7 linked regions of the Rattus norvegicus genome follow. The protein of the gene in region 5 purifies or fractionates together with the protein of the main gene of each other region. This does not show direct contact. Links are inferred from orthologs where the notes say so. Each region holds a gene or a part of one and is shown on either strand. Other genes may lie near its edges.

Region 1 (4,182 bases), on a different chromosome or scaffold from region 5:
TGGGTGTGTCTTTAAGAGATTATTTAGATTAGGTTAGTTAAGGTGCCACTATTCCACATGTTGGGATTTCTGACTGCATAGGAAGGACAAAGGCAGCCGATGACCAGCATTTGTTTCTCTCTGCCTTCTGACTACAGATGCAATATGGACAGCCTCCACCCACTTCTGCCATAGACTTTCTTGCCACCAGCTCCTGGAAAATAGTTGCCTAGAGAAATATTTCCTCAGAGTCAGTGCACAGAGGGTTTGCTGCAGCAGTGGTCCAAAGTTTCCATTCCAAACTGGCAGCAAAACATGGCACTATACCTCATGTGGTACTGGTTTTGCAGGCATGAAAATTGCAAGATTGACTTAGTCATGAGGTCATGTACCACATCATGTAGGGATGCATGTAGGGAATGTGAGGCAGGGTGTCCCTTCACTATTGTCCTAGAGGGGCAATAGTGTGAAGGTGATGCCTAAGTTACAGGAAAGACCCCAGGATGCTGGAGATGTAACCTATTTTCCTATGCAGGCTCTAGCCTTTATGTTACTTAGAGCCATTGGACAATCATCAGATGGAGGATGTTCGAGACCAGTAAGTACTGTACACTAAATCCCGAGAGGTGTCAGTATTCAAAATGCACAGGAAAGAGGGAAGGAGGTGAAGAAGCATGGCCATTTATCTCTGTGTCTCCATCACCGAACGCAGAATCTTCTCTGTGCTAAGTTTAACGGATCGAGTGCAGACTGCATGTTATTGCCAATCTCTTTGTCCTGTCCAGGAGCTAAAAGGACAGCTAGCTCAGGCAAGGAATCCCAAAAGCCAGAATAAGTATGGCAGACTACAGGAAGTTCAAGGAACTACACTTTAGCTTACAGAAGGAGGAGTGGGACCGGCTAGTAATGGGAGTATTTTAGTAAAGGTCAGATAACCCAGTTCTCCAATGGAGGTTTTGGAGTCAGGGTGAAAGGCGAAATTTCCTTTTGGGAAATGTATTCTGGTGCGTACAACGATGGCAGTGGTGCATGGTGAAGCTGATGTCAACGTGCTGTTAACTGATGGTAGACGGTAGTGCTTTCCGCTGGGCTTCGTCTGTGTGGTGTAGCTCCTTCAAAAGGGACAGAGTCCCTGTTGGGTGTGATTTTGGCTATTCCTTGACCAAGTGCAGTACTCTGCCCTTTAGCCTGGGCGGTGGCATCTGGCCAAGCTGGGAGGCAGTGCATATGCGCCCCCCTAAGCCAGTAGGCTTGGAAACTCTAGGGAGGAGCAGGCGAGGGGCGTGGTGTGGGCGTGACCGTCTCAGGCCCAGGCCACGCCTCCTTCGCCTTTCTCGGCTGCGCAAGCGCGCTGTGGGCTGTGAGCTGTCAGGAGCCTAGCAGCGGGTGGCAGGGATCGGACGACGGTGCCGGGACTCAGCGGTGTGAGCCCCGCGCATCAACAAACCGGACAAGTGCTGCGAGGCCCGGGCTGCCTGCCAGGTCGCTGAGTCGCGCAGGGACCTGTGGGGCAGTTGGCCGCACAGGCAAGATGGGGAACCGGGAGATGGAAGAACTGATCCCTCTGGTGAACCGTCTGCAGGACGCTTTCTCGGCTCTGGGACAGAGCTGTCTGCTGGAGCTGCCACAGATCGCCGTGGTGGGCGGCCAGAGCGCCGGCAAGAGCTCAGTGCTCGAGAACTTCGTGGGCAGGTGAGCACACCAGGAGCGCGGTGGGGGCGCGTCCGTGGGGGAGCCCCGTGCTTCAGGCCGTTGGAACGGTGTGGGCAGCCGGAGGGTGGACTAGAGGCTGCAGCGGATTGGGGGCAGAGCAGAAGTGTCCCTGGAGCGGGCGGGGTCCTTCTTGCTCTGGACATCCTTCGTCCCTGCATTCTCTACCCGGTGGTGACCCCCTGTCTGCCTTTCATCCTGCCATACAAAGCCATTTCCTCCCCACCCTCGGTGGGGGAGTCGGGGTACGCCCTGGGATCCACTTCCCTCGCTGGCTTGGTGCGCGCCAGCCCCTGGCAGCCTGGAAGCGCAGCTCGGTGCTTTCCAGTCCCCAGCTCTCTTTCTCTGGCTCAACATCCCTTTCCTTTCCCTGTCACTCTCCCGGAGGCTCTCAGTTCGGCTGTGGGGATGTACCCCTCCTCCTTGGTCCCTCCTACCTCCCCATCCCCTGGCCCTGGCTCTCAGATCTTCTCAGCTGTCTACTGTTTGAGACAGTCATCGCCTGCCCTGAGCAGGGGAGGCGGGGTGTGTGAACCCAGAAATCCCTGTGGTGAAGGCTTATCCTGGGAAGCTCGCCTACCATTTGCCCTGGGAGCCGAAGAATAAACGGTGGTGTGTTTGAGTGTGCACCCATTTACTGCTCAGGCATGACCGGAAACCTGAGACCTCCAGGGGTGACCCATGGACTTGCGATGTTCGGGTGCCTGCACCATCATTCCTGCACCATCTCAGAACTGACCAGCATCTTTCTCGCACTCTCTCTACGCCCCCTCCCCCCAGCATCCCCTTGCGTTCCTTAAGCTCTTATTTATCCAGCAGGTCTTCAAGCTAACATCCAGAATCCAAATTGTAGTTATAGCTTCATGTCTCCCACTTAAAGGAAAAAAAAAAAAAAACAAAGAATTGTTATTGTTTTAAGTCTGGAATCAACGTTTTTCTTTTCAGTGAGCAATCCAGGAAGGATTAAGTTACCTTAATGGCCTTGAGTGAGGAGTGCATCATGAAAGCTGGAATCTGTTTCCCAGTAGTAAACCAGGTGGAAGGTGCAGCAATGGAAACGGTGGGCTGGAGGGGGCAATCCGAGATAGCACTTCATTCTTTATTTGGTTGGTGAGCAGCTTGTGATGCGGCGGGTTCTCGCTGCGGTTCTCCACCCCCTCCTCTCTTTTTGTTATTGCTTGGCAGAGTGTAAACTGTACCGCCGATCGGCTCATCCCCACAATTTTGGGTGTGAGCATTGTAAAGTGCGTTTTTCCTCTTTCTCAGAGGATGCTCCATCTCTCAGGAGATACTCTTCATTTTCCTCGCATCGGTGTGAACTAGAAAGATAAAACCGTGTAATTGCTGGCCATTGGCAGCCACCCTTGCGTAGTTAGTTCCCTTGATCATGTCTCCTTGGTTTTACAATTAATTTTGGCTCGGTAGGAAAGGAAATAGCAAAATATTTTGCATACGTCATCTCAGAGCTCTGGTCTCAGGCAAGAAGTTATTTAATGCTACTCATTCTTAAGGATTAGAATTATATTTCAAACGCAACAGCCATGTTTTTAAGCATCTTCCTTACAATTTACTTGGATGAGCACAGATTTGAGCACACTTTGTTCAGAGCCTTTGAATCCAATGTAAAGTGTATGCACGAATCGCAGCTCTGGCCTCCAGGTTTGCAAATCGGAACAATCTTCTTAATGGTATAGTGAAAGTGTGTACACTTCCTCTCATTAGGTATATTTTTCTGTAATGAGAATAAAATAGAGGCACAGGATTTAATTCTGAGCATTCTTCCATAATGAAAAAATAGGGACTATAAAAATCGGAGCACTTAATCAGAATGTGTTAGCAATTTCTCCTACTTTATAAAGTTTTACCAGTAAGGATGATAAGAAAATAATGGACATAGAAGAAGAATATACCCATTTAGTAAGCACATAAAACCTTTACTAGCTGCAGAGTAGCCCTGTCTAGCACAACTTAAATAGTACGGAGGAAACTTAATTAGAAGAAGGTCATTTGACTTCAATAAAGATTTCGGTCATTGAATGATTGAGGAATCTAATTTCTAATTATAACTCAACCTTTGGGGAAGGGAAAAAAATCCTTCATTTTCAGAAGTGAATCAGTCTAGGTTGAAAAAGAAAAGGTTTTTCGTGTTTCAGTGGAATCTTTTAACTTTTATTGAGCAGGAACTTTATACAATATAAAGTTCTTTAAAATGCAGTCTTTCGCCTCTGCTCATAGCCGCTCTCATGTTAAAGCTTGACCAATGGCATAGTGACCAGGTACAGTCGAGCACTGGGATCTTCACTTGTGTAAACTGTTGTGTTCACTTACTGATTTATTTACCACTTAACACTCCACCTTTAGTAGCTGACCACATCTTTCCATCAAAAGTAGTTTGCCTATATGGTTTCTTCTTTAAATACCATTGGATGTATCTGGATGAGAACGTGTTTATTTAACTAACTGTAAAACCAGTTTTCGGGTGACAAGTTTGTT
Region 2 (3,500 bases), on a different chromosome or scaffold from region 5:
TTTCCATTGGAGAGGACCAAACAAATGTCACAGGCACTGCAGGGTCTAGATATGGTTTCTAAGTACCAAGAAGCAGGGTTCATCCAATGGCTGGTTCCAGGACTGGGCCTGGACTCCAGAGCCAACCTCTTCCACCCTCCTGAGGATGCTTGCTTTTCCCTTCGTCTCAGACATAGGCACGATGCTGGAGAGAGTTGGACCTGGGGGAAAATGATCTTTCCCAGTAGGAAGAGAGGGTCCGTAAAATCTCCCACCAAAACAGAGGAGGGAGAGTGGGGGCTTCTACCTGGGCACACAGAGCAAGGAACCTGGAGAGAGAAGATCAGATTCCCAGACTGACCCATGGAAGAAGAAAGGAAACGAAGCAGGAAACCAGGGCAACACGACGCCACTGTGGCTAGACTCTGGTCTTTCCGCCATGTTTTTTATTTTTCTTAAGCAACTGTATTTTCAGTATCAAATTTTTTCATTACATGGAAGAAAAGACTAAAACGAGTAGACAGAACTTTGGAGAAAGTTTTGCTTGCAAGTTTTGTATCCATTTTTTTTTCATCTGCAGTTTGCTGTCAGTCAGGGGTGGTGAACACCTTTCAAAATATGACTGCAGAAAAGAGCTTACAGCATGGCTCCTGTCTGAGGCTCCACTTTCTCTCTGACTGGGAGAAAGGGCTGTGTGCTCTCAGGAGTGTGATTAGCCAACTAACCCCTCCCCTACTCTGCTCCGCTCATTGGGGATGTGTGGAGGGGCAGTGGAGCTGGACACATCCAGGCCTGTGAGCCAAGAACCTGCTCTCCTCACTAACTGAGCTGTTCTCAGAGCGACCAGGGTGGAGGCACATCATGAGCTCCACCCAGTCAAGTGTGGACTTCGTACTTCTTATCTTTAGCCTGGGACTGTCTACTCCAATGCAGAGGCTGCCTCTCTTCCTGTGGTGGGCGGGCTCTGGTCAGTGGGAGGGCAGTGAGCAGTCCAATGGAGGTGCTCTAACTCTTCATGGGATGGTTGCCTGAACCCTTGGAGGTCACAAAAGGAAAGGAGGCTGCCTTCCGGTTGGAATGTCCTTTCTCTTCCATGTTCAAGCCTTGCACGGCAGGCAAACCCAGATGTACCCAATGTCATGAATGAAGTCCAGGAGTGCTGCAGGGTAGCAGACCTTTGTATGTGGTTACTTTTGTGTCACTGTCAACAAAATAACTGAGCTGACAGAAACAACTCAATGGTGGATGACTGATCTGGACTCTCTGTGTCCAGACCCTGCCATCTTGGCTCCCCCACACTTGGGAGGAACATCATGGTTCTCCTTTACTTCTGGGAAGACAAGCTGCAGAGAGAGGAAACGAGAAAGACAAACAGAGAAGGTGGGGAGGGAGACTGGGCTCCTGGTATAACCACTGATATAACCACCAGTGTTCCATCTGCTCCAGCTAGCCCCACCCCCCCCCAACGTTCCCAGAGCCTCCCAAAATAGTGCCTACATCTGGGAACCACGTCTTTAAAACATGAACCCGTGACACGAAGGGTCCTTCCTACTTGTATGACTACACCTGTTCCAAGGCCATCCCACTGGCCTGGGGAAGGAGGTGCCCCTGGCTCTCTGCAACTGACCCCATGTTGTTGCCAACCACAGGAATTACACGGTGGTCAACACCGAGAAGGGCCTTCTGGAAGTACAGAGGATGACCTGTCCTGGGATGAAGCTGAGCTGTCAGCTCAAGGTCCAGAGCTCAGTGTGGCTAGCCACCGAGGTAACTGCCAGCCTGCAGGGCCCGTGTCAGGGTGAGCATTAGAGGGGTACAGTTCCCAGGGGTACCAGCTTTGTAAAACTGCAAGATGTCAAGGTCAACTGGACAGAGCTCATCCCTAAAACAATGTCATCGGTCCTGAGAGGTAGGTCACCAGGGGAATTGCTGCTGGCTCCTGCTTGCCACCAGCTGGAAGCTAGGATTCAGGGTAGTTAGAATAGGTAGGGAGTCTCAGCAGGAGAAACTGGGTGAGTTGATGGCATGCCACACCGTGTTTCCTCATGATACTGTGTGGGACACGGAGCATAGCTCATCCCTGAGGATCTTCTGTCTCCATACGCGGAAGTCATTGGAAGACCTAAGTAGCTGTCTTATGAGAAATCCAAATGTTGCCCCAAATCAGATGCTCCAGGGTTATGAGTAGGGAAGGAACATCATAATCCTTCTTCGTGACTGTTTATAAGTATTTGGACCTCCCCAAAACCCATAGATACCCATGGAACTAAAGTGTCAGGAACTGAGTCTGATTTAGGAGAACACACAGACCTCTGAGAATGCCTATCCCAATGTAATTCTTTGTAGCAACAACAAATTGACTAAATATGTTTAAAGATGATGGACAGAAGAGGAGACCCCATATACGTCCTAGAGGGGGTGCAGGGCTCTGCCCGTGGCATGTTCTCACTGTATTGTGGCCCCACTTTGCTAGTGGCTGGTTCGTGCATGGCAAAAGCAAGCTTCTGTCTCCAACTCCTTAGGATCCTCTATGAGTTAACTTTCTTCCAGACTGTATTTTCCAAACAAAAAGCAGAAATGGATTAGCAAGCAAAACCCTGCCTTTTTAAGGTACCAAAGGGGATCCCCAGGCTGAGAGCATCCTAACAGGACACCGTGCCAGTCACTTCCTTATCTGGTTCTCAGAGTGACTTTGTCTGCTCTTGCAGGACCAGAAAATCTATATCTACAGCCTTAAGGGTATGTGCCCATTAAGCATGCCCCAGCAGGCCCTGGACACGCCGGCTGTTGTCACCTGTTTCTTGGCAGTACCTGTTATTAAAAAGGTAAGGTATGGAGAGAGGCATGTTCAGGTCTGTCACCAAGTACGGGAGGGTCTCCTTGCTGGGGACAGTGGATAGAGCTGGGGACTTTCTGGGTCACCTTGCCCAGGTCACAGCCAGCTTTAGAGACAAAGGTGGCCACCATTAACATGGAGTGCCTACCATCCATGAGCACTGGCTTAGAGGAGGCTCATACTGGTGCAGATGATGAAGTAAGCCATTGTAAATGGCACCTTCTCCTGATAAAGGTATCGGGAGCCTCTCCCCTGCCCTGGCCACTGTGTTTTCTGATTAATGGACACAGCTGATTCCCTTTTGTCTGTCTCTGCCTCCTCTCAAAGACTTGCTTCCCAGACCCCAGTCCTTTGCCCAGCTTTGCCCAGCACTGCCCTGCAGACCCACTCCTCACCCCATCCACCCTGTGCTCTCCCCAGCCCCAGCTCCATATCTTAGCACGGAATCTCTTCTCGCTAGGGCTGACAAAGCCATCACTTGACTGGCCCTGGTCCTTCTCCTCCAAACAGTAGACACAGGAGCCTCCCCTTCCCTTCTGGTGAAAGGTCAGGCTGCAGAGCGATGACCTCTCCTCTGAGGGGTTGGCTGGCACTGCTCGCTCTCCTAAGTTCTGCTTCCTTCCCTGGATCTAGTAAGGCCACAGGGGCCTGTGGGTGCAATGGGTGCCTTCCACCCATACACACA
Region 3 (4,087 bases), on a different chromosome or scaffold from region 5:
GTACCTTGGTTAGTGGCTTTGAACAGGATGCTTTGATAACCACAGTGCTTAGGATAGTGCAATGAAATATTCTTCTGGTCTGATTGCCAGATTGTCATAGAAGGGGTCAGAGAGCAGGATGAAATTGATGACACGTGACCATAGAACTGCAGTTAGAGGTATCTTCAAAGGATTAGGCTAGACTCAGTAAGGAGAGCACGGGAAAACAAGCATTGGGCAAATTACATATTGAAGGAAAATATACGGAAACAAGGCAAGCCCAGGATGCTGGTGTTGGTTAAACTCTCAGTTTTGATCTACTTAACACAAATTTATTGAAATAGTGAGGCCTCCTCAATGACCGAGGAGAAGTGTAAAGTTGTGAGCATGGGGGCTGTCCCTGTGGTGTACCACACCTATAACTGCAGTTCTAAGGACCCTTGTTTCTCTTTAGGAGAGAGGCCAGAGATTGTGTCTCCCCAAGTAACAGCAATGGCAAACAACTGAACGGTGCTTACTCAGTACAGTAGCGTTTTACTTCCTTCGCCTGTAAGATAAGAATGACATTATCACAGAATCCACAAACTTTGGGATGGAAGGACAGTGCAAATGACTCGCTCAAGGACATACAGCCTATCAGTGCCAGAACACAGCCTGGCTCCCTGAAACTGGAGCTCTCATTTGTAACTCCTCAGCTCCTTTCTCCCCGCACCACCCTTGCCTCTGGTCAAACAAGGTTCTTCCCGAACTCTAACTTTGTTCCGGTCAGTCTCCACTCCTTGTCAACAAGATCAGAGAGTACAGGAAGGAAAGGAGCCGTACCTTCAGTGACAAGATGGGTATCTTGTGAGTTACTACATATTAACCCTAGCAAAGGCGTACTTATCAGTGCAACAGCTAATCTTCTTTGTGAAAGCCTTTATTACACGTAGGGGTTAAGGTCATTTTAGGAGCATTTACTCTGAGCAGTCAGAGAAGGAACAGCGGGCTATTGTAGATACAAATACACTTTCGTAAAACACAAAAAACAAACAAACAAAAACCCCCACCCCCCATTTTATGACGTAAAGATCTAAACAATTTCAGATAATTTACTTCTGGAAATCCTCCCACCCACCACGTGGTCACTCAAGTTCGCTCCTTTTCCATAGCCGCCACAAGGGGGCAGTTGCGGCCGCACAGTCGGCGCACACACGGCTGCTCGGCCATCCCTTGCTCTTGTCTGGCACGCGGATCTCGGCAATGGATTAGCTCCTCTGGGGACGTGGGAGGCCCGGGCCCCGCCCCCGGCCGGCGGTGGCCCCAAGCTGCAGTCGCTGCGGTGAGCAGAGCGGATCTGCACGGAGGCTACGAGCGGAACGGGGAGCAGACCGTGCGTTGCCCTCAAGGCTCGCTCCCTTCGGCGCTCAGGGGCGCGGGTACTGACCGCGGGGCCCTCGGACCGGCCCGGGCTCGGGGCGCCAGGCTCGAGACCATGGCGCTACGCGCCCGGGCGCTCTACGACTTTAGGTCCGAGAACCCCGGTGAGATCTCCCTGCGGGAGCACGAGGTGTTGAGCTTGTGCAGCGAGCAGGACATCGAGGGCTGGCTTGAAGGGATCAACAGCCGCGGCGACCGCGGCCTCTTCCCGGCTTCGTACGTGCAGGTTATCCGTGCGCCGGAGCCTGGCCCTCCGGCCGACGGCGGCCCAGGAGCTCCGGCCCGCTACGCCAACGTGCCGCCCGGCGGCTTCGAGCCTCTGCCAGCCGCGCCGCCCGCTGCCTTCCAGCCGCTGCTGCAGCCGCAGGCGTCGCCCGGTTCCTTCCAGTCGCCGGGCGCCGGCTTTACCTACGGCGGGGGCGCCCCGCAGCCGTCGCCCCAGCAGCTCTACGGTGCTTACCAGGCCAGCCTAGGCAGCGACGATGACTGGGACGACGAGTGGGACGACAGCTCCACAGTGGCAGACGAGCCAGGCGCGTTGGGCAGCGGTGCGTACCCGGACCTCGACGGTTCGTCCTCAGCGGGCGGCGGCGCGGCCGGCCGCTACCGCTTGTCCACACGCTCGGACCTGTCGCTGGGCTCCCGTGGCGTCTCAGCGCCCCCGCCGCATCAAGCGTCTGGAGCCAAGAGCTCCGCCACGGTGAGCCGCAACCTCAATCGGTTCTCCACCTTCGTCAAGTCGGGCGGGGAGGCGTTCGTGCTGGGAGAGGCGTCAGGCTTCGTGAAGGATGGGGACAAGCTGTGCGTGGTGCTGGGTCCCTACGGCCCCGAGTGGCAGGAGAACCCCTACCCCTTCCAGTGCACCATCGACGATCCCACCAAGCAGACCAAGTTCAAGGGTATGAAGAGCTACATCTCTTACAAGCTGGTGCCCACGCATACCCAGGTGCCCGTGCACAGGCGCTATAAGCACTTCGACTGGCTGTATGCGCGCCTGGCGGAGAAATTCCCGGTCATCTCGGTGCCCCATCTGCCCGAGAAGCAGGCCACCGGGCGCTTCGAGGAGGACTTCATCTCCAAGCGCAGGAAGGGTCTGATCTGGTGGATGAACCACATGGCCAGTCACCCAGTGCTGGCCCAGTGCGACGTCTTCCAGCATTTCCTGACCTGCCCCAGCAGCACTGATGAGAAGGCCTGGAAACAGGGTAAGCGGAAGGCTGAGAAGGATGAGATGGTGGGCGCCAACTTCTTCCTCACTCTGAGCACACCACCTGCGGCCGCCCTGGACCTGCAGGAGGTGGAAAGCAAGATCGATGGCTTCAAATGCTTCACCAAGAAGATGGATGACAGCGCGTTGCAGCTCAACCACACTGCCAACGAGTTTGCGCGCAAGCAGGTGACTGGCTTCAAGAAGGAGTATCAGAAGGTGGGCCAGTCCTTTCGGGGCCTCAGCCAAGCCTTTGAGCTGGATCAGCAGGCCTTCTCCGTGGGTCTGAATCAGGCCATTGCCTTCACCGGAGACGCCTATGATGCCATCGGTGAACTCTTCGCTGAGCAGCCCAGGCAGGACCTGGACCCAGTCATGGACCTGTTAGCACTGTATCAGGGGCACCTGGCCAACTTCCCAGACATCATCCATGTTCAGAAAGGTAAAGCCTGTGGGGCAGGTGGCACGGGGTCAGAAGGTGGTGACTTTAATAGGCGTACCACTCTCTGGTTTCAGGCTCCTGGTCGTTCTCCCTGTCTGGGGACCCTTAGGGTTGTGACTGTTGGGACTTTCCTTACCGAGTTTTCAGTGGGTTGTTGGATTTCCTTCTAGTCAGGGGCTGACACACTCTTCAGAGTGCTAGTTTGTCAGACCGCGTTGTTATTTCAGAGTTTGAATAGGCAGGGAAATCAGCTGCTTTGATCTGTAAGCTCGTGGACTGGGGCAGAATTAGTAGGGGACCCACGCCAGGCTAGGCATCTCTTTGAACGCTGCAGTGCCGGCAGATAGGAGGGACAATAGGAAGAATGGATGGATGACTGGGAATAAAGGTAAGTCAGGCCTTCCCTCAGTCCCTGCTGTGGCAGGGGAGTTGGGCCAGCCCTGTTCACAATGCTGGGGCAGCACCGGAACTTCCTGTGTCAGCTTGCAAACCGGCCTAAAGGCCCAACCTTCAGGATCTCCGACCTCCTTTGGCTGGGTTTGGAGTTTATTAACCAGCTGACATTTGGACTGTTCTTTAGGAAAATGATGTGGGAGACTAGTTGGGGCGAAGTAGGAATGTTGTGTCTGAGAGCGGTGAATTCGCTGTCCCAGTGTTAAGAGTGCTTTTTAGTTTGGTGTGTTACTGGCTTTTGTTAAAGCCCTGACTTTGCAAATGATTTTTTTTTTTTTTTTTTGGTAAACTACAGCAGTCATGCCTGACTGACCTGAGGTTACTCGCTAGCTGGCTTTCTGATATAATGGCTCCATTGACTGAGAGAGAGATGGGAGGTGTTGCAAGAACACGACCTTGCCTCTGGAGGACCAGTGTGGGGGAGGTGGCAGTTACCTACTGTAGCATCCTGGGCTGGTGGAAAGCTGCGTGGATAACCAGATTTGGCCTTGGGAGGGGGTGACCTGCTGCTCTCTTCCTGGCCATGTGGGACAAAGCATTTGTGAGCCACCTGATCTTTGGCTTTTGCTTTCTTGTGTTCAACCGAG
Region 4 (2,770 bases), on a different chromosome or scaffold from region 5:
GACAGGTACATTCATAGCACTCAGTAACATTTTGGAACGAGTGAAAGCCGAGGGACTCCTAGATGTGTTTCAAGCTGTGAAGAGCTTAAGACTTCAGAGACCACACATGGTGCAAACCCTGGTAAGAATCTGATCAGTCTGATGTTCCAGAAGAGTCGAGAATTGTTTCATGTGTTTGATGTTAGTTTCATTAAAAGGAGCGGCAGTGTAAAGGAGGGCTTGGGGGGGTGTCTTGTCCCAGAGTGCCTGACCCAGCTGCAGTCTTTCACAGTAAAGCCCTCCCAGGTCTTAAGGGGAGTCTTCCCAGCAGACTTGAGAGGAGGAGCTCATGCACAAATTGTATTTCCATTTAAAAACACAGTTACAGAGTTCAAAAGCAGCCCTGAAGTTCAAAGCCTGGGTGCTTGTTACTTTCCATGTTTTACTGTAGCCTTTGGTCTGTTTGCCTCTAGAAGGTCTCCTTCAACCTCAGGCCCCTCCAAGGGTCTTGTCTGGGGGTGGGGGGGTCTCTTAACATCCAATTGCTCTACATTTTCTCTTTCATTAGCCAGTGCACACTTCTGGTTAGAGGGAGTCTGCACTGAATTCCAAAACGTTTCATGTAGAAGGGGCAAGTGCAGTCTTACAGGCTGAATCCATCATTTCCCAGAGCCTCCTAATGAGGACCTCTCTCCCTCCTGCTCGTTCTCTACAGGCTCTTGACAGGCGGCTTGACCCATGTGCAAAGACGGGGGTGGGGTGGGGAGCTGTGGCGGTGACAATGGAAAGGCTCCACATGAACCTAAGACATTTAGTCTTGCAAATCCTAATGGCATCTATATTAATATAAAAGCATGTGATTTTCACTGCTTAACAGATATAAATTAGGCAGTGTGAGCTTTATGACTTCTTCGGTGGTAGAACTATGGGAGTTTCTTTTCTCCACTTCAGAAATAGTTTTCATTCAGGTGTGGCAGCACATGCCTATAATCTCAACAGTTGGGAGGTAGAGGCAGGAAGATCAAGAGTTTGAGGTCATCCTAGGCTGTAGTAGGAATTCAGGCTAGGATGAGCAACATGAAACTCTCCTAAAACAACAAACATTTCTCTCACACACATTTCCTGGCCTTAGGAGATAGCTCTATTGATAAAATACTTGCTTTGCAAGCATAAAGACGTGAGTTTCATTCCCACAGACCCACCCCTCCACATGCACACACAGTAACCACCCCTCCTCATGCACACACAGTAACCACCCCTCCTCATGCACACACAGTCACCACCCCTCCACATGCACACACAGTAACCACCCCTCCACATGTACACACAGTAAACACACACAGTAACCACCCCTCAACACGCACACACAGTAATCACCCCTCTACATAACATACACGATAATGGACCCGATAGCTTGAACTTGTGTTCCCATACCTGGGAGGTAGAGACAGGCTTCCTGGGGTTCACGGGCAGCCAACCTAACCTACTTGGCAGTTTCTGAGCCAATTTCTGAGTTTCTGAGAAATGCTGTCTCAGAAAACCAGGCCGATGGTGCCTGAGGAAGAACACCTGAGGTTAACCTTATTAGCCACGTGTAAGCTAACACATTTGTACCAGCACACATGCCAACACACATACACACAAAAGACTTTCCAATGTCAATATGAAAAGCAGAGTTGTTTTCCTAAGGCCATCCGGAAAATACACTAGGGTGAACCTGAAGATTAACGTGTTCCGCATGGAAAGCTCGGTTTAGAGCATGACTCATGCCTAAAAGGCACATGTAAGAGAAACTGATGTGTGTGCGGGAGCCCCAGACTTTGATGCATCAACAGACTGACTGGCAACTGGCCTTCTACTGCATCTTCTGATTATACACATCAAGTATGTGTGAAGCCGCTTCATTTCAATATACTATTAATACTCTCTGTTCTCTTTTCAGGAGCAATATGAATTCTGCTACAAAGTGGTACAAGATTTTATCGATATATTTTCTGATTATGCTAATTTCAAATGAAGATCCCTGCCTTAAAATATTTTTTAATTTAATGGTCAGTATATTTTGTAAAAAAAAATCATGTTAATTTATTTCCTAGTGGATATTAATATCCGTCCTGATTCCTTTGTATATATTTTGTTATGTTCTAAAGGCTACCTGCTGTAAGATTATTAAATCATAAATGTCCTTTTTAAAAATTGGAATAACATGTTAAGGTCAAATGCTATCTGGGAAGACATATATTTCTCCTAATACCAGTCAGTATCTTAGTTCTATTAGATTCATGTCATGTGTCATGTGGTGTCACACATCATGTATCATGTATCCACATGCCATGTGGTGTCACATGTCATGCATCTGTAAATGTAGTTCTTAACATGTCAAATGTGTTTGTGGAAAGACACTAAACCTGAAACCCCTTGTGGAGAAAACGGTTGAAGACTCAGAGTCTGATCACATTTATTCTCCCCATGCAGGGCATCAGGGTGTGGCAGACAGTGGACATGGGGGCTTTGGTAAAGTCCTAGGTCTCAGCCATGTGGTCCACCCTTACATATGAAAGATCAGAGCAGGAACCAAGCACTGCAACGCATAGCTGAAGTACTTGAAGGGGCTGAGGCAGAAGGATTGTGTTCAGGCCAGGCCAGCCCAGGCTACAGTGAGACTCTATCAGAAACAAAAACAAAAACAGAAACATAACAAACAAAAAACCAGAAGATTTTGTAACCCAAATCCAGGTCTCAGATGTATAAGGGTAGATGGTGACTTCCCCGTGAGTTTTAAAAGGCATTT
Region 5 (4,209 bases):
AGAACGGTTCACTTTCCTTATTCTAGGGGACCCATCTCCTCTATTGTAGCAGAGGTGGGTATTCTCAACTGAAATTCGTTGGCTTCTAGAGAACGCACTAGCATAGGATGTGTTCGTGCTCTCCTGTAATTGGAAAGAGCTTTTGGAACTGAGAGGTACTTCTCCAAGCTTTCCTCTACCGCTCCCCCATAGCCGGCAGCCCCACATAGGAATCTATGTACTTTGCATGGCACAGAACACGACTTTCTCACGCCTCCATCCATCCCTCTGTTCTTCTGTGCTATTCCGTTTGCCGGCTATGGGCTTACCCTGGCTCCTGTGCTGTGCAACTCCTACTCACCCTCAGCACTCGGCGGCACATCACCTTCTTTGTTAAGTCTTTTATGCAGTGGGCAGAGGAACAGAGCCAGCCTTTCTCCATCTTTTTGGCTTCCTCAGCATTCCCCCAAAGTACTATGTGTAAGTGTTATAGTTTGTGTGTGTGTGTGTGTGTGTGTGTGTGTGTGTCTGCACGAGGGTGTGTGCAGGTGAATGCCGGTGCCATCAGAGGCCAGAGGCACTAAATCTCCTGGAGCTGGGGTTACAGACAGTTGTGAACCATGGGATGTGGGTGCTGGGAACTGAAATCAGGTCCTCTGGAAGAGCAGCAAGCGTTTTTGTTTTGTTTTTTTGTTTTTTGTTTTGTTTTTGACCTCTGAGAGGTCTCTCCAGCCCAAGACATTACTTGTTTACTCTTCTGGTGCTTCTCTCGATTGATTGAATCGCTTAAGGGCCAGGATCTCTGCTCGTCGTTTCATCTTCTTTACCCAGCACAGTGTTTACCTACAGTAGGTATGTAGTTCACTCGGTGAACGGACTAATCAAACAGTTCATCAAACACTGCAGGTTGTACGAACCAGATTCCCAAACATTTCTAGATCTGGTCCTCTATTTGGGTCGAACCATCCTGAGATCTGCCGCCCCTCGACCCCTCCTCGAGGCCTCTTTGCTTTGCTTCGATAGAAAGAACGCTATTCGAGTGTGGAAAGCGCTATTCCGCTAGAGCAGAGCTGTAATTCACTTGCTCCGGCACGCAGAGGGTTACAACGGCCCAGGGGCGGAGCCGAGTCCCTGCCACCTGCTGCGGGGCGAGCTGACGCATGCGCGAAGTCCCCCTTAGGCTACCTGCCGGGCGGAGCGGAGGAGGAGCGCTTGCGCTCTGGGCCTTTTCCGCCGGGGAAAGTCTCGCGGGGGCGGGGCGCGGCGGGGCGGGGCCGCGTGGGGAAGTTCTCGCGGGACCCTGGCGAGGAGCGGAAGCTAGGCTGCTCTGCTGCTTCTGCGATCGGGCGGCGGCGGGGCGAGCCAAGCTGCGGCGGGGGACGGCGGTCTGGGCAGCGGGCGCCGCAGTCAGGGAGCAGCAGTGAGGTTGGCGGCCGCGGGCGGCAGCACAAGGCGGGCCAGGCCGGGTGAGGGAGCGGACGGCACGTCGCGGTGAGTGCAGGAGAGCGGGCGGGAAGTGAGCGGGGGCTCCGTCGTCCCCGCGCCGCGCCGGGCAGCTCGGGCCCGGTCTGCTCCGGGCTGCCGGGGCGGGCCGCTCGCGGGTCGGGGAAGGCTCGGACCGGAGCGCAGCGGCTGCGCAGCCGTCTCCTCGTTTCCCCTTTTGGGGCGCTTCCTTCCTGGTGTCGGTCTTCCTCCCGCTCGGGGCAGAGACCGGGCGAGCCGACGATTGAGGTCCGGTGTGGCGGCCGTCCGGCTGGGCGCAGAGGAGCCCGGAGCAGCCGAGAGGCACAGGGTGCTGCTCTGAGTCAGGCTGACTGAGCCCGGGAGGCGGGGGATTCGGTGCCGGCTGCTAACGTGGTGATTGATGCTCCTTTGACCTGCAAGGCAACCACGTCACCGTCTCTTGGCATCTTGCGGTCGAATTGTGTGCGGGAATCCACCATGACTTAGAATGATTGTTACCCGGACCCACCGACTGGTCTTTGCGAGAGTTGGGAGCTTCTTTTGTAGAAGTACTTGAGAAAAAAAAATACTTGTTGTGGGGGGAAAAACAGCAGCAGCTGATGGGAATGCTGGCAGGAAGGATTTTCGCGGAGAGAGCCCCGCTGGTTCATGTCCGTTTGCAACGCTCTAGGTTGTGTGGGTTTGTAAGAAAGTGATTTTTAGGGTGTCTTCAAAAGCTATATAGCAGTGCAGTTTGCCGGGAAGCCGAGGCGCGTTCAACGTCCGTCTTTTGATGGTGTTGACATTCAAAAAGAGGCTAGAGAAATTGGCTTTCTTTTGACTTCTTCGCCTCTCTTTCACTTTGCCCTGCAGTTTTTGTCCTTTCAGTCTCTATTCCACTCCACTAGGGACACGAAGTACATTTTTTTAAAAAATTTATTTATTCTATGTATATGAGTATACTGTAGTTTTCTTCAGACACACCAGATCCCATTACAGATGGTTGTGAGCCATCATGTGGTTGTCGGGATTTGAACTCAGGACTTCTGGAAGAGCAGTCAGTGCTCTTAACCGCTGAGGCATCTTTCCAGCCCCACGAAGTACATTTGTAACGCCAGTCATTGGCGCCTCCACCCCCTTTAGAAAATAATCTACTTCCCCTTCTTGTTCTTCCTCCGCTATAATTTTCGAAGTTTCTGCCGGTTTGAGCACTGTTAATTTTCTCAGTCGTTCTAAGATCCCCTTTTTGGGGGGGGTAGATACCTTCCCTTGTTTGCATTTCTTTTTTTTTTTTTTTTTTTTTTTTGGTTCTTTTTTTCGGAGCTGGGGACCGAACCCAGGGCCTTGCGCTTCCTAGGTAAGGGCTCTACCACTGAGCTAAATCCCCAGCCCCGTTTGCATTTCTTTTAGACTGTCCTCTGTATTCTTCAGCCAGCCAGAAGGGCTACTAAGGAGCCATCGGGGTGCTTGAGGGGGTTTAAGTTCTCCCCCTGGGAACTAGAAAACCCAAAGGACTGAATTCATTGCTAAGTAATCGATAGTGCCATCAGATCACAAGTGGATTTGCCTGTTCGCTTGTGCTATTTGTATTTTGGTGTTTTCTTCACAAGGTATCCTTTTGTGCCTACTATTTTCCTTCTTTCTCTCTCCTGTTTCTCTTCTCTGTTAGTAAGGAAGATTTTGAGCCAGTTTGGAAGCTGAAAGACTCCCCCCCTCCCTTTTTTTTTTTTCGGAGCTGGGGACCGAACCCAGGGCCTTGTGCTTGCTAGGCAAGCGCTCTACCACTGAGCTAAATCCCCAACCCCGAGGTCAACTATTGTTAAATGAGAAATCATCCGTGGAGTTTGTGAAGTAAGATAGCTTGAAATAGAAGAGAACTTTGGATATTTGTGAATTAAGTCCACCTTCCTCTCCTGACTAATGATATAGTCCTAACCAGGCTTTTTAAAATGATTTTTAATTTTGTATGTGCTTGAGTGAGTTTTGCCTGCATGTATGTATGGAAACCGTGTGCATGCCTGGTGCTGTCAGAGGCTAAAGGAGGACAAATACCTTGAACAGGAGTTACAGAGGGTTGTGAGCAGCCATATATATATGTGTGTTAGGAATTGAACCCAGGTCCTCTGGAAGAGGAGTCGGTGTTCTTTAACAGCCTGAGTTGCTATTCTCTCTAGTCCAATAGTTTTAAGCACTACTCACTGGTACTGAGGGTTTTTTCCATGATTTCTGTTATGTCGCATGTATACAGCAGCCCTTATGGAGAATTATGAATTAGGAGACAGCAAGACAGAGCTGCCACTCCCGGACAGGCATTTGGTGTCGTTACCTGCTGACCTCAGAGGCCTACACCTTTGGCCACGGTTATTGAGATTTATTCTTCTGTGTTTGTCAGAGTTGATTTTCCCGAGTTGTGCCAAGTCTAACATACATCATTTTCATTTTGTTCAGACGTAGTGCACTGAAATGCAAATTTTAAAATTTGCTTAGTGCTTCCTCATTTTAGCCTTGATTCTTAAAATTTGTATGTATAGACATAACCTGCCAATTAAGGAAGGGCTGGAGAGATGGCTCAGTGGTTAAGAGCACCGACTGCTCTTACAGAGGTCCTGAGTTCAATTCCCAGTAACCACATGGTGGCTCATGACCATCTGTAATGGGATCTAATGTCCTCCTCTGATGTGTCTGAGGACAGCTACAGTGTACTCATATATAATAAATAAATAAATAAATCTTAAAAAAGAAACCTGCCAATTAAAATTTTTTTATCCAAAAAAATTTTTTTGAGAC
Region 6 (3,500 bases), on a different chromosome or scaffold from region 5:
CACAGCACCATCAAGGACTGTTCAGGATGCAGGACCCAAAAAACGCCACTCAGCACCTCAGCATTCTCAGCTCACCCTTTCCCATCCTGCTCTGCAGATGTTTTCCCCAACTTGACTTCCTTCTCGGGGAACAACCCGGTGGCCCAGTTCATAGGAACTAATCCATGACAAAGAGACTTGTGGACAGCTGGTACCACATCACATTTGGAAAGCTCTGGAAAACCAATTTGCCATGTAGCACATTAGAACAGATTTTTCTGAGAGTCAATGGGATCTTTTCTTTCCTTCAGGAAGTCAAGGGGCAGTAGTAGTTTTCCACACGCCCATTACCTGAGAATGAGGGTGTTTTAATGAATACTCAGAATGGATGAATAAACGTTGCTGTAAAGGGGGGCTGCTGTGTCTTCTCAGAAGAGCAGGTTCATCCATCACAAAGCTCTTTTCACTAACTTCAGACACACCAAATTTTGGGGGAAATTATCTTTGGTCCCCATCTGTAGCACAAGACTCCTATAGACTTTAAGCCATCTAGACATCCACTTCATCCATCAAGACTCCTGCCTTCTCTTACACCCCCAATAGATCACCCTCTTCTTTCCTTTTAACCAATTATCTCTTTCTCGGTGTTCAACTGCCTATGAATACACTGCTGGCATTCCTGGGTTGTGTCTCCTCAGGAACCGTGCCCATATCCAGCTAGCTGCATGAACAAGAAACCTGAAAGACACTATTAAAAACCTGCTGGATATCCTAGCAATATCTAATGTATGCTTATTATTAGACATGTATCCTAAATGGGACAAAGAATTGGATCTCTGAGGTGGCTAAGTAGGTTAAAAACTCTTACCATACAACCTGAATGATCTGTAGAACCCACATTAAAAAAAAAAGCCAGGTGTGGTGGCTCATAGCTGCAATCCCAGCAGTCCTACAGCAAGATGAGAGGCAGAGGCAGAAACAGGAGAATCTCTTCAAAGCCTGTGAATGCCGGACAGCAGTAGAAATAGCAAGGGAGACACTGCCTCAATAATAGGTGGAAGGGGAAGACTGACTCCAGAGAAATTATCCTCTGGCCCACAAACTCATGCTGTGGCATATACATGTATGTGTGTGCACACTTATAAAAAAAGGTATTTTTTACAAAAGCATGCACATCAGAGACACCTTGATGTGTAGTGAGAGGTGGACTGAGAGAGCAGTCAAGACTTACGTGGAATCAGCAGGCCATTACCAGCAGACCGTTGTATATTTACATTAGTCCTTGTGTGTTAAATCATGGAACTTTAACTTTGAAGTGAGTTTCTCTCAGCAGCACTCACAGTAGGCTTGTCGTGTTTTAGGGGATGTTCGAAATGATATTTATGTCACCCTGATCCATGGGGAGTTTGATAAGGGGAAGAAGAAGACACCCAAGAATGTGGAGGTGACCATGTCTGTGTTTGATGAGGAAGGCAACCTTTTAGAGGTATGTAGCACTCCCCACAAATCTCATCGCGTCGCACCTGCTCTGTGGTAGCAGCCAAACGCTGGTCCAACTTATTGTCAATTCTCCCCATATGGGGAGGGTCCTTCTTTATCTGGGTTTTTGTTCTTACTTTTATTAGTTTCTGTTTTGTAAGAAAGGGTGTCATTAGGTAGCTGAGGCTGCCTCAAACCTGTGATCCCTCTGCCTCCGGGTGTTGGGATGACAGGCGTGTACCAACATGTTCAATACTTTCTCTTAAGGAAAAAATATATAAAAACTAATAAACCCGTGATTCTCAGTGGCTATTTTTACTCCGGGAGCTACTTAGATATATTTTGATATTTTTCTCTGTGCAGAGAGATATCATGGGCCACTTAAACTTTAGGACCTTTGACATTTTCAAGTGGTATGGCTAATCTCAGCTTGAGCACCATGCAGAGGTGTCCCAAAGGCCTTGACAGGCACACTGCCATCACCTGGGCCAGTGGAGCCCATGGACACCGACTTATCTGAAGGAATACTGTGACACTAAAGGCACCCTTGGTGTAGGATGGCAATGCTGATTTCCAGTGTTAGTCATTGGGAACTTGTACCCAGAGTAGAGTTCTTTCCTCTGGAATTGCAGATGTCAGAGACAGAGTCGAAGAGTTTCTCTGCCTCTGGCAGCTTTCTGGACATCTTGGTTTTGACTTGAGAGAGTTGGGAGGCACCGGGTGGCCACCAGAAGCCTCTGTCACCTCCATCTAATTGCTCTAGATGTACAAGTGAAAGTCTTGGCTCCTGAAGCTCTCTAGATGTCCTGAAGTAATGCTCTCCAAATGTTCGGTCCTTGTTGTCCATAATTCAACCATTATGTTTCTTTAAAAGCAGAAAACTGTACACATTCAGTAAAAACCCTGAAATTCATGGTATGCAGGACTTGGGGCTGAAGGGACCCATGTGGCATTTGTTAACATTAAGTGGCATGACTGCTGGCTAGGAACAGCATACACCTGCTGCCACAGTGTCATCTCGCAGTATAGTGTGGATGGCTGCTGGTAGACTTCTCAAACTCATCATCATCAAAGCCCCTGACTTTGGGTTAATTTTTGGATGATATACATTCAGAGACCTTGTTCTGTTGCCATGTTTTTCATATACTAGATGACCTAGTATCATCTCCTAATTGTGTCTTTCCAATCAAAGAAAGCCATTCATCCTGGAGCTGGGTACGAAGGCGTCTCAGAGTACAAGTCCGTGGTGTATTATCAAGTCAAGCAACCTTGTTGGTACGAGACAGTCAAGGTGAGAATTCTAACTCCTTCAGCTATTGACCCTTGTTTAGATTCCTGTCCGCTTTTTAAACCCCAAGTCAGTCTTCAGATATCTGAAAGTTTCAGATTGTCTGCAGAAAGAAATAAACCGGGGATGGACTGGAATGGGGAATATAATCAAAATGCATCGTGTGAGATTCTCAAAGAACTAATTTTTTTCAAAAGCTGAATCAGCAGTTAGGAGGTCGTTAGAGCATCCATTTTATGAAGCCCAAGATTCTGACAGAGTATTCTTATTCACAAACGTATAGCGACTGGACAAGAAAAACTTGTGGCTATAATAAGGCAGGGGCTGCCAAGATGCTGCAGACAAGCTAAGATGTGCGCACTCCATCATCGGCTTCCCAACATGTTGTTCTTGTTGGCCCCTGTCCAAGTGTTCTGGGCCTCTTCGCTGTAAGGAAGGGTTTCATGAATTGCAGAATGCTTTCAGATCCTGAATCCCCTGTGGGCTCACAGTGGCCTTGAAACTGGACAGTCGGGTATTACTCTGACCTCTTTTTGAAGAGGCAGCAGACCCTAGGAAGAGAAGTGACACCTCAAATCTTGGAGCACCTTGGGGTCAACCTAAAACAGGTCACATCTGAAGTCTGGGCTGCTGTAGCGCCTACTGTCAGCATTGGCAGGGTCCTATGAGTTGTAAGCAGAAAATTCCAGAAACTGAACATTGTCCAAATATCTGTTAGGTAGCGGTTATTTTTCACATCCCTCTGTAGTCTGTG
Region 7 (3,500 bases), on a different chromosome or scaffold from region 5:
GGGCTGCGTCACTATCTTACCAAGGAAGGACAGCTGATAAGGTCCCTGTGGCTTCCGAGATCCTCATGTGCTCCTGGGCCTCAGAGTGACCATGAGCCCTGGTGACCATGTCTGTCTCAGGAGGCCTGGGTAGGATGTGAGGCCCATGCCCCTCTGCCCGCACTTCCTTTATTGCTGACCCTCTCAGGGACTCAGCCAAAAGCTTTGGTTGGATTCCACTGCACTCGGAACAGGCTGGCAGGTCCCTGGGTAGTCACTGCAGCGTTTCACTGCTGCTCCGGACGAACCCAGAGGAGAAGCTAGCGGGGTGTTCTGTTTTCTTTCCCACAGGTGGTCACTGCCAAACCCGGAGTACTACACGCTCCGCTATGCAGATGGGCCCCAGCTCTATGTCACCGAGCAGGCGAGTACAGGGTGGCCAAGGGCAGGCCACGCTTTGCTTGCAAGTGACCTGCCAAGGAGGTGGCACAGCCTAGCTTCTTACTGTGCGGGTGGCTCCAACTCCCTGTTTAAAGAGCTGCCCTTTAGGCAGCGTGGAGCACCAGCTGGCTCCATGGTGGCTGAGGTGGCTTTTGCTTCAAGACCCAGAGCTCTTGAGGAAAATCTTAGAATCTCTTTGTAGAAAGCAAGTAGGAGGAGGCCTAGCTGCAGAAGAACCTCAGTGTCCCTCGGTATCCATGGAGAGTGGTCCCCAGATACCAAAGTCTCAGGAGGTACACATGGCACAGTAGCTGCCTGTCACCTAGGCACATCCCCTGCACATTAAATTCCCCTCTAGATGCAGAATGTGCCTCATGCAGTGGGTGGGCCATGTCTGTACCTGCTGTCCAGCACTGCTTAGGGGGCCAGACAAGAACAACAGCCCGTAACGTTCAAAGCAAACCCTGCAAAGCCTGCCGATGGGTTCATTGCTAGCTGATCACCTGCAGATGAGGAGAGTCAATTATGCTGTGAAAATGGCCACCAGTCCTTACTGAATCACCTCCATGTACTATTTTAATATTGTCTTTTTGTCTTGTTCTGTTTTATTCTTTGCCATCCAGACCCGAAGCGACATTAAAAATGGGACAATCTTACAACTGGCCATCTCCCCGGTAGGTATTCCAGTCTTCCTGACACACACGAGTTCTTATGGTGGGAAGGACTCTGCTCTACGGGTTTGAGACTAGAGATTGTGAAGAAACCCCTCTTCCTCACAGCCTGGCTGGCGGCTCATGAGCAAGGGCAGCAGACAGCCTCCTGGTGTGTAGGAAGTCTGAGAGGGGCCACCTCCTCCAGCAGAGCAGTTTCCAGAAAGCTCTCCCAGAGATAGGCACCCTGATCTTAGAGGCTGGGAATAACTGAGAGAAGAAGAAATGTGTTTCCTAGTGTAGAAACCAGAGCTGAGAGGTGTGGCAGGGGAAACCAGTTCTGAAGGCACTGGCATGGCTGCCTATGGGCTCAGACTTTACAAGAAAAAAAAAGGGAATCCCTGAGGAACATTCCCTGTGCATCCTGTGGAGTGTTAGCAAGGCCACATTCAGAGGCAGGTAAGAGAGACTGGTGGGAGAGTGATCTCTCAGATTGGTATGGGTGACGTCCAGCAAAGGCAGTGGGATGGCAGGGTTGACAGACACCAGAAAGACTTGGTGAATGTGTCAGTGCTGGGGGTGGGGGCAGAGGGAAAGTTGGGAATCCCCTCAAAGGTAAGCAAAGGAAGCAGCCGCAGCCTGAAAGGGAGTGAGAAGCAGGAGGCTGGGCAGTAGAGCAGGCCTGAGATCCCAGCATTTGGGAGGCAGAGGCAGGAGGATCATGAATTAAAGTCCTCAGCTGGAGACTGGTCAAAGCTAATGTAAGCTCAAGAGACCACATCTAAAGACAACAGGGGTTGGGTGGAGTGGGGATAGTGGTGAGGAAAGGTGCTAAGCCACTCAGGCAGAGCAGGGTAGAGGAAGGAGAGGCCCGCAGTGCAGTGAGTGCAGAGGGTGGAGTGAGAGCAGGAGTACAGGCCACTGCGGTGCCACAGCCCGGCTTCCCACAGCAAGTGAGAGCCAGCAGTCTTGAGTGAAAGTTAAGGGCACAGTGGAGAAGCTTACGTCTGCTACTGTTTCAGGTAGCAAGAAGAGGACAGGAACATGGGAGATGTGGGATCCAAAAGATGTTTGAAAAACAGGCGAAGCATGTTAATGAGTTTCAAAACTTGTGAAATTGGGCAGGAAGTGGACGGTCCTGGAGTCCTTATGTCCTACTCTCCAGCCTGAGGCCCTTTCTTTCTCCTGCAGTTTTTCATGTGTCGCATGGATGAGCTCAGATGGGAGAGAGGGTGAAGGTGCAGGAAAGGGGTAAGGGTTCAGTGCATCAGGGCAGGGAGGCAGGCCCAAGGCCGACAAAGGGCTCAGTCTCTGTCACAGTTGTAGGAGATTAAGGCCATGTTTTCTTGTTGAGGGAAGGACCCACTTGTCTGGAGAGGAGATGTGTAGAGGAGTGCCAGCCAGCACTTACCTCGAGTTTTGCTAACTCTTCCTGACTGCATCAGTTCAAGCGAGAGGGAGACAAGGAGACTGAGGACTAAGGTTGAGTATAGCCATGCACAGCCACTGGAAAGGCCGCTCTGGAGGGAGATTTACATTTGGGCTGCAAGTTTCTAAGCTCCATACAGACCAGTGCTCACAGATTGTCTCATGGGTGACCTTTCCTTAGGCACACCCTTCCTCCACTGTGGGATTAGGGCGACCTGTGTGTTGCCAGAGGACCATGCAGTTATGGGCCCCTCTTTGTAATAGAGAGGCCAACCCCACTCCCTGCCCTCCAGTCACTTCCTGACAGTAGGCAGACAGGCAGGCCTGGGGCACTCTGCTTCTCCTGCTTCTTTCCTGAGAGAACATTCCATTCAGAGCAGGGCATGATGAAACAGTGAACTGGAGTCTGACTGTGTGGTAGTAAGCTCAGCACGGGAGTGACAGTGGACACTGCTGCAGGCTTTGCTAGGCTGCAGGAGTCAGGTGCCCTGCTGGGGAAGGCCCGTGCAGGGAGGCATCTGTCCTCAGCAGCCATCGTGTCCAGGAAGCTATTCATAATCACGGCCTCCAGCTCCTTTGTCCTTCATGATTGCCCAGCACGATTCTTTTGGGGAAGGGTGATGTAGAACATTGAAAGGTTTGTCAGGGTTATCACACTTTAGAACTAAAAGGGTCCTTCAGGGTCATCAGATTAAATTCTAGGGCAGGACCCTCGGCGTCTGACAGATCTGCTTCTGAGGACTTGCAGTTAGGAGATACCCTTTCTTTATTTTCTTGGTAGGAATTAAAAAGAAAAATCCGTAGAACAAGATAGCTTGGGGTGGGGGAGGTAAGACACTTGTCCCCAAGCCTGATAACCTGAACTTTATCCCCTGGACCTACATGGGGAAAGGAGAGACCTGACTCTATCAGATTAATTAATGCTCTGATCATCACACTTAGGGTATAGCATGCACATGTATGCACACACACAAAATAAATATAATTCTTAAAATAAAATAA

What was found.
Region 1: the proteins of Grb2 (region 5) and Dnm3 purify together in Homo sapiens (affinity purification with mass spectrometry; 5 studies listed by BioGRID and IntAct, counting the BioPlex papers as one, with this or other methods). This does not show direct contact. The link is inferred for Rattus norvegicus from reciprocal best matches to the Homo sapiens genes GRB2 and DNM3.
Region 2: the proteins of Grb2 (region 5) and Lrrk1 purify together in Homo sapiens (affinity purification with mass spectrometry; 4 studies listed by BioGRID and IntAct, with this or other methods). This does not show direct contact. The link is inferred for Rattus norvegicus from reciprocal best matches to the Homo sapiens genes GRB2 and LRRK1.
Region 3: the proteins of Grb2 (region 5) and Snx18 purify together in Homo sapiens (co-immunoprecipitation; 4 studies listed by BioGRID and IntAct, counting the BioPlex papers as one, with this or other methods). This does not show direct contact. The link is inferred for Rattus norvegicus from reciprocal best matches to the Homo sapiens genes GRB2 and SNX18.
Region 4: the proteins of Grb2 (region 5) and Ptpre purify together in Homo sapiens (affinity purification with mass spectrometry; 5 studies listed by BioGRID and IntAct, with this or other methods). This does not show direct contact. The link is inferred for Rattus norvegicus from reciprocal best matches to the Homo sapiens genes GRB2 and PTPRE.
Region 6: the proteins of Grb2 (region 5) and Dock5 purify together in Homo sapiens (co-immunoprecipitation; 4 studies listed by BioGRID and IntAct, counting the BioPlex papers as one, with this or other methods). This does not show direct contact. The link is inferred for Rattus norvegicus from reciprocal best matches to the Homo sapiens genes GRB2 and DOCK5.
Region 7: the proteins of Grb2 (region 5) and Elmo2 purify together in Homo sapiens (co-immunoprecipitation; 4 studies listed by BioGRID and IntAct, counting the BioPlex papers as one, with this or other methods). This does not show direct contact. The link is inferred for Rattus norvegicus from reciprocal best matches to the Homo sapiens genes GRB2 and ELMO2.

What each region holds. Positions count from the first base shown.
Region 1 is NC_086031.1:77,368,547-77,372,728, reverse strand, and holds the start of Dnm3 (dynamin-3), read left to right. Parts: upstream 1-1,382; 5' UTR 1,383-1,510; coding exon 1,511-1,671; intron 1,672-4,182. UniProt on the Homo sapiens protein: Microtubule-associated force-producing protein involved in producing microtubule bundles and able to bind and hydrolyze GTP. Most probably involved in vesicular trafficking processes, in particular endocytosis.
Region 2 is NC_086019.1:129,261,131-129,264,630, reverse strand, and holds part of Lrrk1 (leucine-rich repeat serine/threonine-protein kinase 1), read left to right. Parts: exon of another isoform or gene 1-1,628; coding exon 1,629-1,746; exon of another isoform or gene 1,747-1,771; intron 1,772-2,687; coding exon 2,688-2,804; intron 2,805-3,500.
Region 3 is NC_086020.1:46,988,717-46,992,803, reverse strand, and holds the start of Snx18 (sorting nexin-18), read left to right. Parts: upstream 1-1,287; 5' UTR 1,288-1,453; coding exon 1,454-3,047; intron 3,048-4,087.
Region 4 is NC_086019.1:199,917,198-199,919,967, forward strand, and holds part of Ptpre (receptor-type tyrosine-protein phosphatase epsilon precursor), read left to right. Parts: coding exon 1-121; exon of another isoform or gene 122-123; intron 124-1,921; coding exon 1,922-1,996; 3' UTR 1,997-2,770. UniProt on the Homo sapiens protein: Isoform 1 plays a critical role in signaling transduction pathways and phosphoprotein network topology in red blood cells. May play a role in osteoclast formation and function.
Region 5 is NC_086028.1:101,445,339-101,449,547, reverse strand, and holds the start of Grb2 (growth factor receptor-bound protein 2), read left to right. Parts: upstream 1-1,409; 5' UTR 1,410-1,470; intron 1,471-4,209. UniProt on the Homo sapiens protein: Non-enzymatic adapter protein that plays a pivotal role in precisely regulated signaling cascades from cell surface receptors to cellular responses, including signaling transduction and gene expression.
Region 6 is NC_086033.1:46,222,543-46,226,042, reverse strand, and holds part of Dock5 (dedicator of cytokinesis protein 5), read left to right. Parts: intron 1-1,340; coding exon 1,341-1,465; intron 1,466-2,650; coding exon 2,651-2,749; intron 2,750-3,500. UniProt on the Homo sapiens protein: Guanine nucleotide exchange factor (GEF) for Rho and Rac. GEF proteins activate small GTPases by exchanging bound GDP for free GTP. Along with DOCK1, mediates CRK/CRKL regulation of epithelial and endothelial cell spreading and migration on type IV collagen.
Region 7 is NC_086021.1:174,466,960-174,470,459, reverse strand, and holds part of Elmo2 (engulfment and cell motility protein 2), read left to right. Parts: intron 1-330; coding exon 331-403; intron 404-1,043; coding exon 1,044-1,094; intron 1,095-3,500. UniProt on the Homo sapiens protein: Involved in cytoskeletal rearrangements required for phagocytosis of apoptotic cells and cell motility. Acts in association with DOCK1 and CRK. Was initially proposed to be required in complex with DOCK1 to activate Rac Rho small GTPases.